Linked DNA regions of Coturnix japonica. The protein of the gene in region 2 purifies or fractionates together with the protein of the main gene of each other region. This does not show direct contact. Links are inferred from orthologs where the notes say so. Each region holds a gene or a part of one and is shown on either strand. Other genes may lie near its edges.

The links. The genes of interacting proteins can lie anywhere in the genome.
Region 1: the proteins of CCP110 (region 2) and CEP76 purify together in Homo sapiens (co-immunoprecipitation; 4 studies listed by BioGRID and IntAct, with this or other methods). This does not show direct contact. The link is inferred for Coturnix japonica from reciprocal best matches to the Homo sapiens genes CCP110 and CEP76.

The regions. Positions count from the first base shown.
Region 1 is NC_029517.1:87,448,350-87,456,475, reverse strand, and holds the start of CEP76 (centrosomal protein of 76 kDa), read right to left. Parts: upstream 5,105-8,126; 5' UTR 5,071-5,104; coding exon 5,008-5,070; intron 4,613-5,007; coding exon 4,457-4,612; exon of another isoform or gene 4,441-4,456; intron 3,813-4,440; coding exon 3,731-3,812; intron 3,352-3,730; coding exon 3,127-3,351; intron 2,401-3,126; coding exon 2,215-2,400; intron 1,454-2,214; coding exon 1,356-1,453; intron 918-1,355; coding exon 789-917; intron 1-788. Other genes in the region: PSMG2 (proteasome assembly chaperone 2), read left to right, coding at 5,155-5,235, 6,432-6,603, 7,418-7,476. UniProt on the Homo sapiens protein: Centrosomal protein involved in regulation of centriole duplication. Required to limit centriole duplication to once per cell cycle by preventing centriole reduplication.
Region 2 is NC_029529.1:8,220,835-8,228,836, forward strand, and holds the start of CCP110 (centriolar coiled-coil protein of 110 kDa), read left to right. Parts: upstream 1-3,173; 5' UTR 3,174-3,262; intron 3,263-3,291; exon of another isoform or gene 3,292-3,418; intron 3,419-3,461; exon of another isoform or gene 3,462-3,479; intron 3,480-3,764; 5' UTR 3,765-3,774; coding exon 3,775-3,912; intron 3,913-4,523; coding exon 4,524-4,652; intron 4,653-4,893; coding exon 4,894-6,520; intron 6,521-7,502; coding exon 7,503-7,627; intron 7,628-7,758; coding exon 7,759-7,933; intron 7,934-8,002. Other genes in the region: GDE1 (glycerophosphodiester phosphodiesterase 1), read right to left, coding at 91-302, 915-1,007, 1,717-1,822, 2,392-2,567, 2,677-2,931.

The DNA.
Region 1 (8,126 bases), on a different chromosome or scaffold from region 2:
GGCAGCCTGTTCCAGCACCTCACAACTCTCAAAGAACTTCCCCCTGACATCCAGCCTAAATCTTCCCTCCCTCAACTTGAAACCATTTCCCCTTGGCTGTCTGTTATCTACCCTTTCAAAGGCTTGACTCTCCTCCTGTTTGTAGGCTCCCTTTAAGTACTGAAAGGCTGCAATGAGGTCACCCTGCAGCCTTCTTTTCTCCAGGCTGAACAAGCCCAGCTCCCTCAGCCTGTCCTTATAGTCCCATACCATTCCTACTACTGAGGGGCAGTCACCAAGGAACAACTGATGTGATTGTGACGTAAGTTACAACACAGTAACTTACTAGCCAATGATTTGTTCACATCTGTAACTACCATGCAACATTCACCAGCCAGATTACTTTATTAACCACAGAGTGCTCAAATATTATATGGATCTGCTCCAGTATATCCAGTAACTCCACTACTTATTACTGTATAAAACCTGTCTGCAATAGTTTGTATAGATCACTTAAGCATTTGCCATTTGTACTTATTCAAGGAAAAGACTAAAATGGCTTTTCTACCTCCTACACCAGGGGTGCTTGGAGCAGCCTTTCTCTATGAAACATACTCTTCAGCTTCAGTATACATAGTTCAAGTCTTGAAAACTTCATTGTCAGCATACTGTATCACATGTAGCCCTGAATGGAATCTAACCACATCATAAATCTATACAAATTCTACATACACAAACTTCAAACATGCAGCTAAGACTAAAAAAAACACCTTGAAGAACAGATTGGTGTATTTGTAAAATATACAAACCTGTGCAAAAATCTTTACCAGCCTTGAGTTGTGTGTAGGCCTGATCTGCAGGTATTCTCTCCACCACTGTTTAGCATACACAAGAAATAAACGTTCTTTTTCTGCTGTCTTCTGACGTTCCAAAGTAAACTACAGGTAGGAAAATACACACAACCATTCACACATATAATAATTCCAAACAAGAACAAAAAGTAATCAATATACATACTAGCACATGATCCTTGCATATGAAAAATGAAGTTTAATATGACAGCATGCAACCAATGCTAAAGAATAGTATTTTAAAGTGAAAATCCAATGAATGTAAAACTCAATTTACATTTCTTGTTTGTAGGCTGATATATCAAGCTTGACTGAAGTAGTGTTCATCTTCAGTGACGCATATCTGTATAGAAGGACTACTCACCTTGCTAAGTGTGGAATAATATCTGTAACACCTTTGGGCCACCATTTACTGGCTTTTCAAGTAGAGTAACCGACCCTTTATCTACATAAATAACTGTACAGTGTGCATCCCCCCTGCTGATAAAAGAACAGGCCATCCCTCACCCCCTACATATTACTTACCTGAGTGCTTGTTATTTCTGGAGACAGAGTCTTAGTAAGTGGTGGATACATTTCAAGTCTGATGTTCAAAACACCGACAGAAACCTTTGATTCTGTACCTTTGAACCAAAATACATTCCTATCAGTCCTTTCAAATTCATTTGACACAGAACAAATAATAGTTTTAATCATACCATCATAAAAATAAAACCCCATAAACTTCTCTAAGTACATACAACACAAAGATCTTCACTGAAATATTCTACTCAAGAATGAAAGGAATGATAACCTGGCTAAAGAAGCTGGTAACTGGATCTGAGCCCTAAGGGCCTCTTTCCAGGTGATACCAGAACATACAAGATGAATGCTGTTCTGTAAGGGCTAGAATAGGCACCTACAAATAGACTGGAAGAGCCACAGTGTACAAGTGCCCATTGTTACTGAATGTACAACTCACTGCTCAGATCACTGTGGTTAGAGCAGGATCATAACTGCTACACAGGACAAGCTAGATTTTACACTTGAGAACACTGACACGGTATTTTTCCTGGAGACGCATTTGTTGATTTATGTTTGTTTTGATAGTTTACCCACATCCTGGAGATAACAGAGGCTCCCAGGTACAGGGACCACTATTGCACAGGATCTGGAACACACATTCTTAACACTTTGATAAGACAAAAATCTGACCATTAGTCCTTTATATAAACTCTTCTTAAGGATACCTTAAAGTAATTCATGAGTTGATACCTTAAAGTAATTCATGAGTTGATTAGCTGAACTGAAATCAAACCAAACCATAAATACTACTTTAAGCTTCTAATCAAACTTAGTACGCAATACTTTAACTCATCGTTAAATGCTCATTAGTTATTCTTACCTACACCCAGGAGTTCAACAGCAACATTTGTGATGCCATTCTCTGCAGCCAGGACAGATCGCCACTCCAAGAAATAGGACGCTACCAGCGTTGTCTCACCAAACGTGTCTGTTTTGATCAGAACCATATGCACTGGATCACATACAGATAACATAGTTGTTGCATCCACCATTTTACTTCCATCACCTGCCAGAAATAAAGCAACATTAAATAGCCAGAATATCACCCCAAGTCCTCCTTAAAATAATACTACTTTTTAGGTAAATAACTGCACTCTTGAAAACATGGAATGCTTCAGGTCTATTTATTATACACCACTATTGATTCCAGAATTCTTCTCATAACATTCATCTGCCACCACATTTCCTGGCTACCAACGGCAGAAAGGCAATAGAGGCGACAGATAACCGTGGAAGTCAGTCATCGAACAACTCATAGCAAACTGAGCTCAAAGTAAAGTTTTTCCTTCTGCATGGTGACAAATTGCTATCCACCTTCACGAGAATGCTCAAGGTTGGAAGGGACCTATGGAGGTCAGCTGGCCTAACCCCTGCTCAAGAAGGAACACCCAAAGCCCAGGACCATGGCAGTAACTTCAGAGTAGAAAAGACAAGGTAAGAATAGAGAAGGATCTAGAAGTGAAATCTAATAGTCATCAATTTCCCTACAAAAAATTTTAGTAATAAATAGGAAAGAAACACACTACATAATTTCAGACCTGTTTTGGAATAACTATAAAGTCAAAAAGAAATCCAGTGAAACAAAGCAAAATGATTTAGTGTAGGGTTTTTAGAGTTAGGGTTCTGGTTAGGCTGTGGTTGGACTTGATGATCTTCAAGGTCTTTTCCAACCTGGGTAATTCTATGAAAAGAAACAACATAGCATCAGCTTTAAAGTCATGATGTTCCTTACCTAGGCTTTCCTTGTGAACTTCAAGTAAAAAACCATCATGGAAATCTGGCTCACAAGCACAGGGAACGGGTTTAGAACGGAAACGCTGATTTCGGAAATGAAGACATAGTGTAAAAGTAGAACAGATTTGGCCAGGCAGAGGATCCGGTTCCTGAAGATGTTCCAGAAAAGCTTTTCCACCCAGAACCTGAAGGTAAAGATACCTTCGTGTTGGGTCAATGTTAGCTGTAAAGCGTAGCAACAAAAATGAAGAGACTACAAACAGATCTCAGGAAGCATGTTAAACATCAGCTAACCAACAGGAGAAGAGAAATAAAAAGAAATAATAAAGTTTTTGTATATAAGTCCCTAGGAGAAAGTGATTCTAAAATACATGGATGCTATTTTAACGTAAAATAAATGAAACATGAACGTCACATAAAACTTGAATCTGTATCAGTCAAACTTACATCCTTTAGATAAGCAAGACATATTTTTCTCCTCTTTGGAGGCTTTAAACGAATCCAGTTCATGTTGTATTATTAATTCCAAGATCAATAATCCTACATTTGACATTTCTATCAAAACTACAACCCAGAAATATGAGAACAAATGAGCAACATACTTTTTTTCATAACCGGTGGCTCTCTATCAACAAAATGTGTTGATGGTTTTGGAGATGAAGCCCTCTCCTTTCCACTCACATCCTGGAATCACAATAAAGAATTTTTAAGGTGTTAATTGAGGCAGCAGCAGCCTTCCCTCAACCTTCTATAATTTAAAGCATTCTCCTTCCCAATCAAATGTTATTCCTCTTGTACAACCTCTGCTAATAGGTGAGACTTAACAAAAACTGAGCAAACGCTGACACTGTGGTATTATCACTACACCAAATACAGCACACACTGTTTTGTCCTAAAACATCACAAGTCACTAAAGCCTTTTTGAACTACTAGAAATAGTACCTTCCTGTACATAAAGGGAGTCTACAGGAAAATAGGTGAAGGACTCTTCGTCAGCGAGCATAGAGTTATGACAAGGGGCAATGGCTTTAAACTGAAATATGATGGATTCAGATGAGATAGAAGGAAGAATTTATTTCAGAGGGCAGTGAGGCGCTGGCACAGCTGCCCAGAGAAGCTGGAGGCCCTGGAGGCACTCAAGGCCAGGTTGGATGGGGCCCTGGGCAGCTGAGCTGGTGGAGGGCAGCCCTGCTCATAGCAGGGGGTTAGTCCTCTCCAACCTAAGCTATTCTGTGATTCTATGCTTTTAGTGTGTTAGAACTTGGACAAGACACCACATCAGTTAAGAGGAATAAGCAAAGTATCTTCACACTTGAAGAGGTTCTCACAGTGACAAATTTAAGTTCTTTCATAACATCATCGATGATTCCTCGCTGTCTTAAGGCTTTTATCAGATCCTCCGTGGATAACTGCCGATGCTCAGGCGCCAGCTCCTCACGTATCGTCTCGGCCAGAACTTCTCGGATCCTTCCATGGACATCCATCTGAAAGAGAACTTCTTACAAGCTGCAGATAGAAGTTCCTGACAGCAGTTACAACTAAAGAAGCATCCTGTAGGACTGCCAGTACTTTCTGCACATAGAGCCCATGAGTTCTTGGATTAAATAAGAGCCAGCTGAAGAAGTCATACTGCCTCCCTAAAGCAGCTCTACCAATTAAAAACGTTATGAGCACAACGAGCCTGAACGCATTCACTGCTCTGCGCCTTAAACCTGCAAACCCAACAGCTTCCCGTCTGACTTCTGAGGGGGACAAAGAACTAAAAACTTCGGATGGCCGCTTCTTAGTTCTCTAAGGCACAAAAGCAGACAATGCCCATTTCCTCCCCCCCTCGGCACCACACGATCAAGGATGCAAAACACCGTGTGTCTCAGCTCACCTTTAGCAGCTGCTGCTGGATGAGCTGCTTCAGCTCCGACCCTTTACCCGGCGGCAGCGCCATGGCGGCGGGAGGAGCTCCGCCCCAACGGCCGCGGCGTGAGGGGGACGGGAAGCGGGCGGAGCTGCGCGTTGCCTTGTGGCATCCATGTCTCCGTCAGGCCTTGCCGGCATGTTCGTGCCTTGCGATGGCGGCAGCCCCGATTTCGAGGGTTTCACGCTGCTCATGGTGAGTGGTTGTCGGGGGGCGGAGGTCGGGGGGGCTGCAGCCTGAGCGCCTTCATGGATAGGGCACCCGCAGCTCTCTTCAGAGCGCCTCCCCGCCCTCTGAGTGAGGAGATTCCTCCTATTACCGGAATCTCTCCCATTTTAGCTTAAAACCATCCTCCGTGTCCCATCCCTGCGGCTCGTGGCTTACATACACCTTCAGGGGGTGAGGGAGAGAATCGGAAGGGAAGTAAAACATGTGGGCTGGGATAGTTTGACAGTAGGGCAGAAAAGGGGAAATAATAATGAGAGAAGAACGTAAATAAATGAAGCACGCTGCAATTGCTCACCACCCTCTAAGCGATGCCCAGGCAATAGCAGCCCCCAGCCAGCTCCCCCAGTTGTGTTGCTGAGCACTTCACCACATGGCATCCCTGCCAGGCAGGGGGTTGGAACTACATGATCCTTGAGGTCCCTTCCAACCCGGGTCATTCTGTGATTCTATGGCATGGGATGTCCCCTGGGCCAGGCTGGGTCTGCTGCCCTGATTCCTCCCCCTCCCAGCTCCTTGGCCCCCCAGCACTTCGCTGGCAGGGCAACACAAGGAGCCAAAGTGGCCTTAGTTTTGTAAGCGCTGCTTTGTAGCAGCCAAAAGAGCAGTGTGGTAACAGCGCTGGGCTCACCTGAAATGCAAAACACGCTGCTACACCAGCTGCTGGGAGATTAAATCTATCCCAGCCGAAACCAGGGCGCTGGAAGACGCCTCATTCTTACCTATTGCTCAAGCTGAGACTTGTAGTTGAGTGTGTAATATCAACGTTACCATTAGGTGTCACTTGAGGTCTGTCAATCTCTGCGTTCTAGAGCGACTTGCCAATTCTATGCTCCCCACTCCCTCCCCCCCCCCCCCCCCCCCCCCCCCCCCCCCCAAAAAAAAAAATATATATATATATATGTATATATATATATATATATATATGGGGGGAAAAAAAGTTTCAAAACCTTTGTTCAAGTTTACAGCGAGAGACAGGGTTATTCACAGAAGTGACCAGTGTGATTCTGGGTGACCAACCTAAGGGATGGTCATCTTTGTCTGAAAATGAGCTGTCAATTAAAGAAATCACATTTAGTCAGAAATGAAATGTCTTGTACCTTCACTGTTTGGAGAGCATTTTGTCTATAAAGCACATTGTAATCCATTGACTTCTGTTGCTTCAGCCAGCAGTGTCGGTAGGAAACGTTGGCCAGCTGGCAGTAGATCTGGTGATCTCCACACTTCGCATGCCTAAAGTGGGCTACTTCTACACCGACTGCCTGGTGCCGATGGTGGGGAATAATCCTTATGCAACAACAAAGGAGAACTCAATGGAGCTGAGCATAAACGCTGAAGGTGTGTACTAAATGCTTGTGGTGTTTGCAAGAAGCATACAGAGCAAAAAAGGTTGCATTTACTTTTTTTGTTGTTATATTTTGCTTATGGGGACTGTGCTTAAACTAAAGTCCTTAGTAACAGTTTCAGTAACTAAGTCTCTTAGAAATAAGAATGTGTTTGTACTTGCAGAGGAAACCGTTAGTAGGCCTTACTTTATTTTTGATAACCAGTCTGACATATGCAACCAGTAATGCTGGCTGGCTCACAATCGTGTTACAGTGCAGCCAAAACTCCCAACAATTTTAATCCTAAGCAACATGAAGTGTGCTCATAGTTTAGGTGCAGGAATGCAAGCTGCGTTCTGGTGTAGAAGGGGATTTCTCACTTCCCTCCTGTGTTTGTCTTTTCCCCCTTGTGCTGTTCCTCCCCCTTAAATTCACTGGGTTTTGCTCCACCTCAGTTATGGCGTTTCTTTCTTTTTTTAATTCCTCTTCTATTTTATGCTCTTAAATCATAGAAATTTCAAAATAATCTTTCATAAACTTCGTAAAGCTGCACAGAAGAATTTCCTGAATCATCATAAGGGGGCAGATCTTATGTTCTGCTTCATTCACTCCTTTGAATCTGTGTGAAATTAAGATTTTTTAAATTTTTTAATTAATTAAATTAAAGTGAAATTAAGTCCAGTGAAGACATTGCACAAAAATAAAGAGCTATTTTTAACAGCAATCAGGTTTTCCAGCAATTGGATTTGATAACTCTCAGGTTATCCTCAGGTTTGTAAAGCCCAGATTTCTTTCTTGTTAAAAAGCTTTATTATTTCTCCTTTTAGTGTATTCATTGCCTTCGAAGAAGCTTGTAGTTCTGCAGATCAGATCACCTTTTATAAAGGTACGTGCATCCGTTCTGAGCTCACTCGTCAGTAGTTGCAGTTCTGTGTGCAGATGGTTCAGGCACCCTGGGTCAGTTTTACAGAATGATTCAAACAAAGCAAAGAAGTACAATGAGAAGAACTGTGCCAGGTTAGGAAACGTTTTCTTAAACCAGACCAAAGTCTCGCAAGATATTTTTCTGCTCAGTGCTGTAACGCTTTCTGTGTCGGATACAGTTTTGTCTCAGAGCTGATTTCTGCTCTCGCTGAGGGCTGAGGTTTAGTTTTGTTCTTCCAAACCCCAAAACAACTCAGCTGTATTGTTAACATGTCCTTAGTTATTAATAGTCTCAAACAGAACACAGAATGTTCTGAGTTTTGTCCATCTCTCTTTTCTTCATACAGCTCTTGTCCTCGTGTTTGTATCTTGTATTGTGATGGCTTAATTTCTGCTATTGCTTTTTGGCAAAAATTGGAAGAATATGGTGTGATCTACACATTATCCCATCCCGTTCTAAAGCTGTTTCCACTAGTACTTACGGCACACAAAGCTGTTGTTATTTGTGTGCTTTTAATGAGTGTAATCATTATGTGTGTAGCTTTAATGAGGTAAATTGCCAGTCTTCCGCTTTTTGAAAGTAAATGTGAACCTGTGAGCTTAAGGGATGTG
Region 2 (8,002 bases):
CAGTAAGAAACTATGCAATCTTACACAATATCAGAGAGAAGATAATGATTAACATTTACACTTCTTTAACTCCAAAGCGTTGGCACTTACTGAGAAACATAATTTTTCTGGATGAGGAAAGCTGAAACCCCACATAATCGCCACAAGAAGCTGTGTAGGCTCCAATCTAGAATGACATCCAACATCATGTACAGATAATGCTTCCATAAGGAACTGAAGCGAGGTGTCCCATCTCCAAAGTGACTCAGCTGCCAAGGTCTGAATGTTAGTGCTGTCACCACGTTCCTGTCAGCTTGTCTCATCTGGAAGGTCCAAGGAGAAAAGATGAGTGCACACAAAGCCTGCATTAAACTGGGAGAGGTTAGATACTAATTGCTAGCTTCAGTGTGCACCTGTGTCAGAATCCTCCTCCCCTTTTCCCCCCAAGTCCTTTTGTAACTTAGGAAGCTACACGTGATACCGGACTGTTTTTTTCTTAGATTTGTACAGAATAAGCAACTGCTCTTAGATAAAAAACAGTGATGCTGGAACAGAACATTCAGGAAACTGAATCAAATACATGATAAATGGCCTTAATGAGAAGAATTAGAAAGCTGTGGTAAGAGAAGTTGATATTTACATCAAAAGATGACATTTATTTAAATGCTGCCTTGCACACAGACACAGAACTGTGTGCTAGCATACTTGTTTCTCCATAATTTTCAGTACAGAGGGAATTACTGTAGATTCAGAATACTTGCACCTAATGAGCACAGTGTGACCTAATCAGATCATGCAGTAGACTTAGGATTTAAGCATCATTTGTTTCTAATGTTTCTGCAATTTCAGCAGCCCAAAAGTACTGGAAGTTGTTTATCCTTACTGAAATTCCCAGGCAGAATTTAAAAGTCACAGAAACTTGGAGGAAACGTCACCTTATAAACAACATCTGGCATGAAAGAACAGACGATGCTGCTGTTATACAAACGAGGAAATTCCAGGTAGAGCTGTTTTAGGGCATCAACCGCCTGCCAGTGAGAGATACACACAGATGTTACATTTACAAACACACATAAGATTTACTTCACCCTGCAAAGTCATTTTGATTCTTTAAAAACACCTTCCTGTTTTGTGTAGTAAGTCTGATGTGGTGGCTGGCAATGCTGCCCATGGCAGAGGGTGTGGAACTCTGTGATCTTTTATGGTCTTCTCCAACCTCAGCCATTCTATCATTCCATGATTATGATTCTGTTTAGGAATGCTACTCATTGCTCTGATGTTTGAAATACCCTTACCTTACCCTTAAGAACTACCTAAGGCTTAACTCAAAGGGAAGAAATAATTTATTTCCATATTTTGCTAACTTGCATAAAATGTTTATGATAGCTCACCTGTATCTCCCTTCAGTAACACAAATTAGAGATGACTGGAGCCCTAGCTGGAATGGAAGAACAGATACTGGGTTCCCTCAGCACAGACAGGGAATTTGCTTTGCTTTGTTGTGATGCAAGTTGAACTCAACAGTCACGAGTCAGTTGAATTTTAAATTTTCCAGGACAAAGGAATGGGATGAGGGAACACAATGTCTTTATTTCTGATAGTCCAGCATTGGGTGATGCAAACAGCAGCCCCATTTTTACTCATGTTAGAGAAGGCACTTTACCACAGAGACCAGCTTGAGACCAACAAAAATAGGCTGAAAACCCAAAGAAGGGGCTGTAGGACAGTAAGTGGTACCTGATTCGCGTGGCCTTTGACATCAAAGTAGATTGTAAGATTGTGCTGCAAAGACTCCACTACAGCTTCTCTCAAAGTTGGTACCTTTTCGCTCTGGAATTTGCTCCTGTAGAAACAGAGCTGTCCTTTGTGATGTGGTTTTGAGATGCACCGCACACACACACATCCCCAACTACACAGAGCTGTTTCCTGGGGATTCCTAAACACAGTCAAGTGAGACACTAACATTAGGGGTTAAGCACCACCAGCAATGGCAGCAGCAGCTTTCTGATGCTGTAAAATGCTGCACAGATATAAGGATCTCTCTTCCCAGAATCCCACAACTACACAACTCTGTCCTTCCAAATTCAAGCTCTAACTCAATGCTTACTGACCCCACTGAAAGACTGGCCTCAGTTTTTCATCTCCTTTAACAACAATAAACATGCATTCAATCCCAGATGTGACCATCTATCCTCCCACTTCATCCTGCTTCAGTGGTGTTTCCTAGCACCGATAACACAGATCCTGACAGAATAAGCAAGACAAGCTGAAGCTGCAGGAGAAGCAGCTTCACGCAGCAAGACATTAATCCTGATGGGTGACTGCAGCTGCATTAGTTCTCACTGTGGCAGTGACAGACTGGGAAGATGCTGCTTGTACCGCCAAGGGGTCTGTGCTACATGTTTCATTTACCACAGCCTGTGTTTTGCAGATGGATTAAGCTTCCGAATCTCATCAAAAGTCATGTCACACAATCTTCCAGACCCATCAGTTGTCCTTTCTACTGTCTCATCGTGCATTAGAATGGGAACGCCATCCGCGGTAAATTCAAGATCCAGTTCAACACCTGTTGCTCCATTTTCAGCTGCCTTAAAAGAAGGAAAAGATCATCACACACACAACAGATAACGGCTTTCAGTAACAGGTAATGGCTTTCAGTAACCGATAACGGCTCACAGCGCTGCTGGGCGCTCTCACCTGTCTGACGGCCCCCAGCGTGTTCTCGGGGGCGTCGTGCGCTCCGCCGCGGTGCGCGATGCGGGCGGGGCCGCCGCGGGGCCGCAGGACTTGGCGTGCGCTGTGCGGGGGGGCGGGCTCCAGGCTGAGGACGTGCAGCAGCACCAACGGAGCCGCCGTTAGTACGGCCAGCAGCACCGGGCTGCGGCTCAGCGCCAACAGAGCGACCAGCAGCGCCGGCACAGCGCACAGCAGCGCGGCACCGCCGCACAACATGGCGGCAACGCACCGACTGCGCCGGACCGAGGGCGCTCAGCGCCTCAGAGAGAGGGCGCCGGTGTTGCCGTCCCGTTCAGCGCCGCCGGGCTGTGACCGGGCCGTTACCGGGCTGTGACCCGTCTGTCCGCCCTCGCGGCTGCCCGACACCCCGCACGGTCACGGACAGACTGGGTTTAGCCCCGCCCGAGCTCCACACACCGACCCGCCCCTTCCGCGCTCGTCTGTGTGTCGCGGTGCCGCTGGGGGCCGTAGTTCCGTAGTCCCATAGTTCTGTAGTTCCGGGGCTGGGCGGTTGCCGGGCTGCAGGCGGCGCCGAGCGCCCTGCGCGGTACCGGGCCTGCCGTCCTGCTGGGGCCGGGCGCGGGGCTGGGGAGGAGGCGGCACGAACCGGGCGGGGAGCGGGGCCGGGCCGGGCCTGCGGGCTGCCGTGCTTGGAGCCGCCCCTCGGGCTCCTGGCGACACCGGGCTGCGTTTTGTTGTGTTGGTGGGTGTGTTGGTCTGTGTTCGTACACAGGGGTAGGAAGGAAGGAAGGAAGGAAGGAAAGGTTGGTTCGCGGGGACGAGGCTGTCAGCCCTGTGGATGTTGAGGCAGCTCTCGGTTACTTCAGCTCGCTGACTGGCAGCGTGTCTGTCATTGTGCTCCTGTTCTGTTGCGCTTCATAAGAAAACTGGCTTTTGCCGCTATTGCTGTTGGTAGGAAGAAAGCTCAGTTAATTGAGCTATTTGACGTGGGGTTTATTTCCCATATACAGCGTGGAATTGGTCGTGTTGTTTTTCTTTCGTGGCCTTGGAAACACAATAGGGTATGTTTATTATCCGTGCTGTTTTAGCTGCGTGAAAATGGAGGACTACGAAACATTCTGCAAGCAGCATCTGTCCAGAATCCAAGAGGCAACAAAAGGAGAGAACTCACCCGCTCTGCTGGACAGAAACGTCTCCCTCATTCAGTTCCATGGAGTTCCAGTGCTCTCCCCTCTGGTAAGGTGCTTTTTAATCCCCTGTAACATTAACTGTGTCATTGGCTTTGATGTCTGTGTGTACTGACTGTATTGAGAGCACAGCTCCATCTGAGGTGTTCTGGCCTCTGCTAAGTGCATTTGGAGCATCCCTACCTTTCAATTTATAAGCTAAAGGAGTGATTCTTTAAATTTCTTATTTTTGCAGTGTGTGTTTGCTTTCATTTCTTGATATTTGTTGTCTGCGTGAGGAGAGTGAGAATATTTGTAGTGTTAAATTGGTGACTGTTAATGCTGTGCTCAGCTTTGTGCAACAGCACATCGACACTACAAGCATTGAGTAACATGTGAGCTGTTGATGGTCTGTATCATAAAGCAACCAGCTTCTTTGCTTCGGTGTTGGGAAGTATGGACGGAGAGTGTCCCTAACAACAGTCTCCAATGACAGGATATGTGTATGTTTGTTTAAAAAATTTAAAAAAAGGAATTTGTTTAGAAAGAATCTGTCTATTTAAGTGCACACCAAGTTTCAACGTTGGTGGGTTTTGTTCCTTTTTGTTTTTATTTCTGTAGTTCTATAATGTAACTTGCATTTAGTGGTATAAACTTTGTCTCTCACACTCTGTTCTGCAGCTGAACTTTGAAAAGAGAAAGGAAATACAGCAGTATCGACAGAAAGCGCTGGATCTAGAGACATGGAGACAGAGCTCCCACAAAAGAGCCTTAATGAATCGTGTTCAGGAGATTCTAGAAAACATTCAGGTAGGATTTGGACTAACTCTTACAGCTTTAAAGGAAACGTCTCCTTGTGTGTGTTTTGAGAAAGGGCTGGGGTTTAGGTATTCACTAATACAAATCTGAAATGAATAGCAGTTAACTTACAAGAACCAGCATTCACTTAAGGTTAAGGCAGTGCTCATTTACGTACAGGTAAAACTTGCAGTAATCTGGAAATCACAGATTTCATCCAAGCTACGTGATATTTTTCAACTTCTACTTGCAGAACAGGAAAGTATCTGGTACAAGTGACGTGAACGTTCAGGATGCTGGGAATACCTGCCCTGATGCAGACTCAAAAGCTTTGACTGATCTCACAGCTCTGTCAGATGCCAGCTTGCCACGTTCTGAAAGGCATTGTCCTGTGCAGACTGAAAAAAGCCAAGAGCTTTTGCCATCGGACTCTGTGCAGCGAGTGACATCAAATGCAACAGAAGTAGGTAAACCAGCGGAAGAAAATGTTCCTTCAAAGGAAAGTGAGAGTCACTTCTCAAGAGATGTTCCTTGTCCAAGGGCTGCGTCTCCTGACGTTGTGCAGAGTAAACTTGTGTCCCCTGCTTTGCAGAAGCAAGAGGGACAAGGAGTGCCGTCATCTGAGAAGGAAGCCCAAGATCCATATGCAGTGAGCCTTCAGAACCTGATTAAAAAGTCTAGGGAGTATGTAGAGAAAGAGCAAAGCAGGCGTAGCTCTAAAAGCAGTTCAAGGAAGAGTATGAATGAAAGCCATTCAGATAAAGAAAATGATGCAGTTAAAACATCGGACTCTGTGAAAGAGAGAGCAAAGGTTACAGGCAGAAGTTCCACTGCTCTGCCACTTGATAAACCGTATCTTAAATCAAATACTCATATTCAAGGTGCCTCTACTCATACAAGTAACACAAGTATGTCAACTTTATCCAGTTTTTCCAAAGTGGATATACCTATGAGAGTTGGGACACCCCCGTTGGTGGATTCGGATTCAGATGAAGAATTGAAAAATCCTTCCGCCTTTGATCGCGACAGCAGCATTGTCAGGAGCCTCACGGGGTCGTACAGCAAACTGCCGAGCCCGGAGCTAAGCATGAGTCCAAAAATGCACCGGAGGCGCCCAAGGCCTTTATCGATGGGACACATAGTTATAAACAACCCTGTGAATGCTTATGAATTAAGTCCCAAAGGCAAGGGTAGAGCAATGGATTTAATTATGCAAGATATTGCTGATAAGAATAACATATCTGAGTCAGTGCCGAAGTTCATGATGGACTTTAGTATGCTTTGCCCCAGCAGAGTTCCTGGTGTCATCAGGAGTTCTTCAGGTCCTTCTGATGGGCTGCTGGCTGGCAAACCAAACAGACATTCCTTTGGGCACTCAGAATGCAAAGGGGCATTGTCTGCTGCAGTGGAAGGGCAGGTAGTGATGGACAACAGAGGACCGTATAAAGTAGAGACTGGTACCGTGGGTCCAAAACCGATTGAGCCATTCTCCACCCATCAGTCTACAGTAACACAGAAGCTCCTAACTGTGAATGAGACCAAAGCATCCAGTTTGCAAGAAAATACTAAATCTCCAGTAGAACTCAATAAATCTTATGATGTAGAAAGCCCGTCCCCACTACTGATGCAGAGCAAGAGTATGCGCCAGCAGATGGATCCAAGTGTTCCCCCAGCAAACGAACAGATTCTAGAGAACAGCTTTGAAAAGGTAAAACGTAGACTTGATTTGGACACTGACAACTGCCAGAAAGACAGCAACCCCTGCGCTGTAACTGTTGGAATGGAGGAACAGGAGAAGCAATGGCTGCAAGAGCAGAAATGTCCCATGGCATCAGTTTACATTACCAAGAATGCAGCCCCTGATTCAAATATGGCAAAAGGTAAAAGATTTCCAGTGTTTGTTTTCTAAACTTCTCGGTTTAGAGAATCTTCTAGGGAAAAATGATTTTTTAAATATTCTAATCAATCTTATTAAAATTAATGCAGCTTTTAATATTATAATTTATTGTAAGATTAAAAATTATAATTGTTGGTGATTCTAAGTACATATCTATCAAAAGGCAGAAGTGTTATTCTGGCAGTTCTCTTTTTTTCAGTAATCTCATCTAATTTTTAATTAATGACCAATTCTGAATTTCAGCTGCTACCTGAGCTGTGCTTAATGGCTGCACAACGGGCTAGTTGCTCGTTTACAATTCACTCATGGAAAGAAGTCTTACAGCCCTCTGTAACAAATCCTTCATTAAATACTTTATGAAGAAGCATCAGATGAAACGTTTCTCAGTTTTGTGGATTCTCTGTTTATTCTCAGGGATATCACTTTAGGCAAAAACAAAAACCCAACACGTTCTCATTTGAATGTAGAAGTTTGAACTTAGTTTTACTAATATAATTTCTTGTTCTCTTAGATTTAAGTAAGACTACTAAAATGAATTAAAAGAGAACACCTTTCAGCAGCAAGGTTGCAAATGACTATATAGGTGCTTTTGTCATTTCAAGACTGTGTTACATTTGTGTCTTATCAAGTTAAACCAAAGTGACATTAATAATTTTAGTTTACTCAGCAAGTGTGGGTATTGTGTTCCCAGATCCAGATGTTTTACATCCTTATTCTAATACAGTCTCCATTGGTGTTACTGCTGTTCCATCCACATACTAATCCCACAAAGAGGAACGTGCAAATATTCTGAAGGACTGTTGTAACTGAAAGGCTTCTTTGCGATGCATAATGGCAACTTGATATAAAAAATGTGCTTTTTATTGAAGATGGAAATTTCTCTTTTGAAGCAAATATATCTGTGACAAAAGATCACATAGAAAATATTTAATGCTTCATTCTTTGTAATGCATGTGTCTTCTCAGAAGAGATTTTAAAGACTAAAATGTTGGCCTTTGAGGAAATGAGGAAGAGACTCGAAGAACAGCATGCACAACAGCTGTCAATTCTGATAGCAGAACAAGAGCGGGAGCAGGAGAAACTGCAGAAGGTAAAGCAGAAAGAGGAGAAAGTCTGAGCTGAAGTCCTGTGTGTTTGTCAGGATGCAGATGGTTTTGAAATATACATTTTGTTGTGTTGCAGACAGAAAACAAGTCTTACAGCTGATTTTTTCTTTCATAGGAACTGGAGGAACAGGAGAGGAAGGGAAAGAAGATCGCTACAACAGAAATAGAAATATCCAAAGTGAATATTAACAGTAGGATGGAGTTGGAGTGGAGAAAAAGTGAAAGCGGCTTAGTAGAAAGTGTGCAATCTCAGCTGGAGACAATCCATAATGCAAACTCTACAAGCATTGGTAAAAACTGACTGCTAAAATTAAACTGAGGGTCAGATACAGATTAAATGTGGTATATTTTGCTCTGCA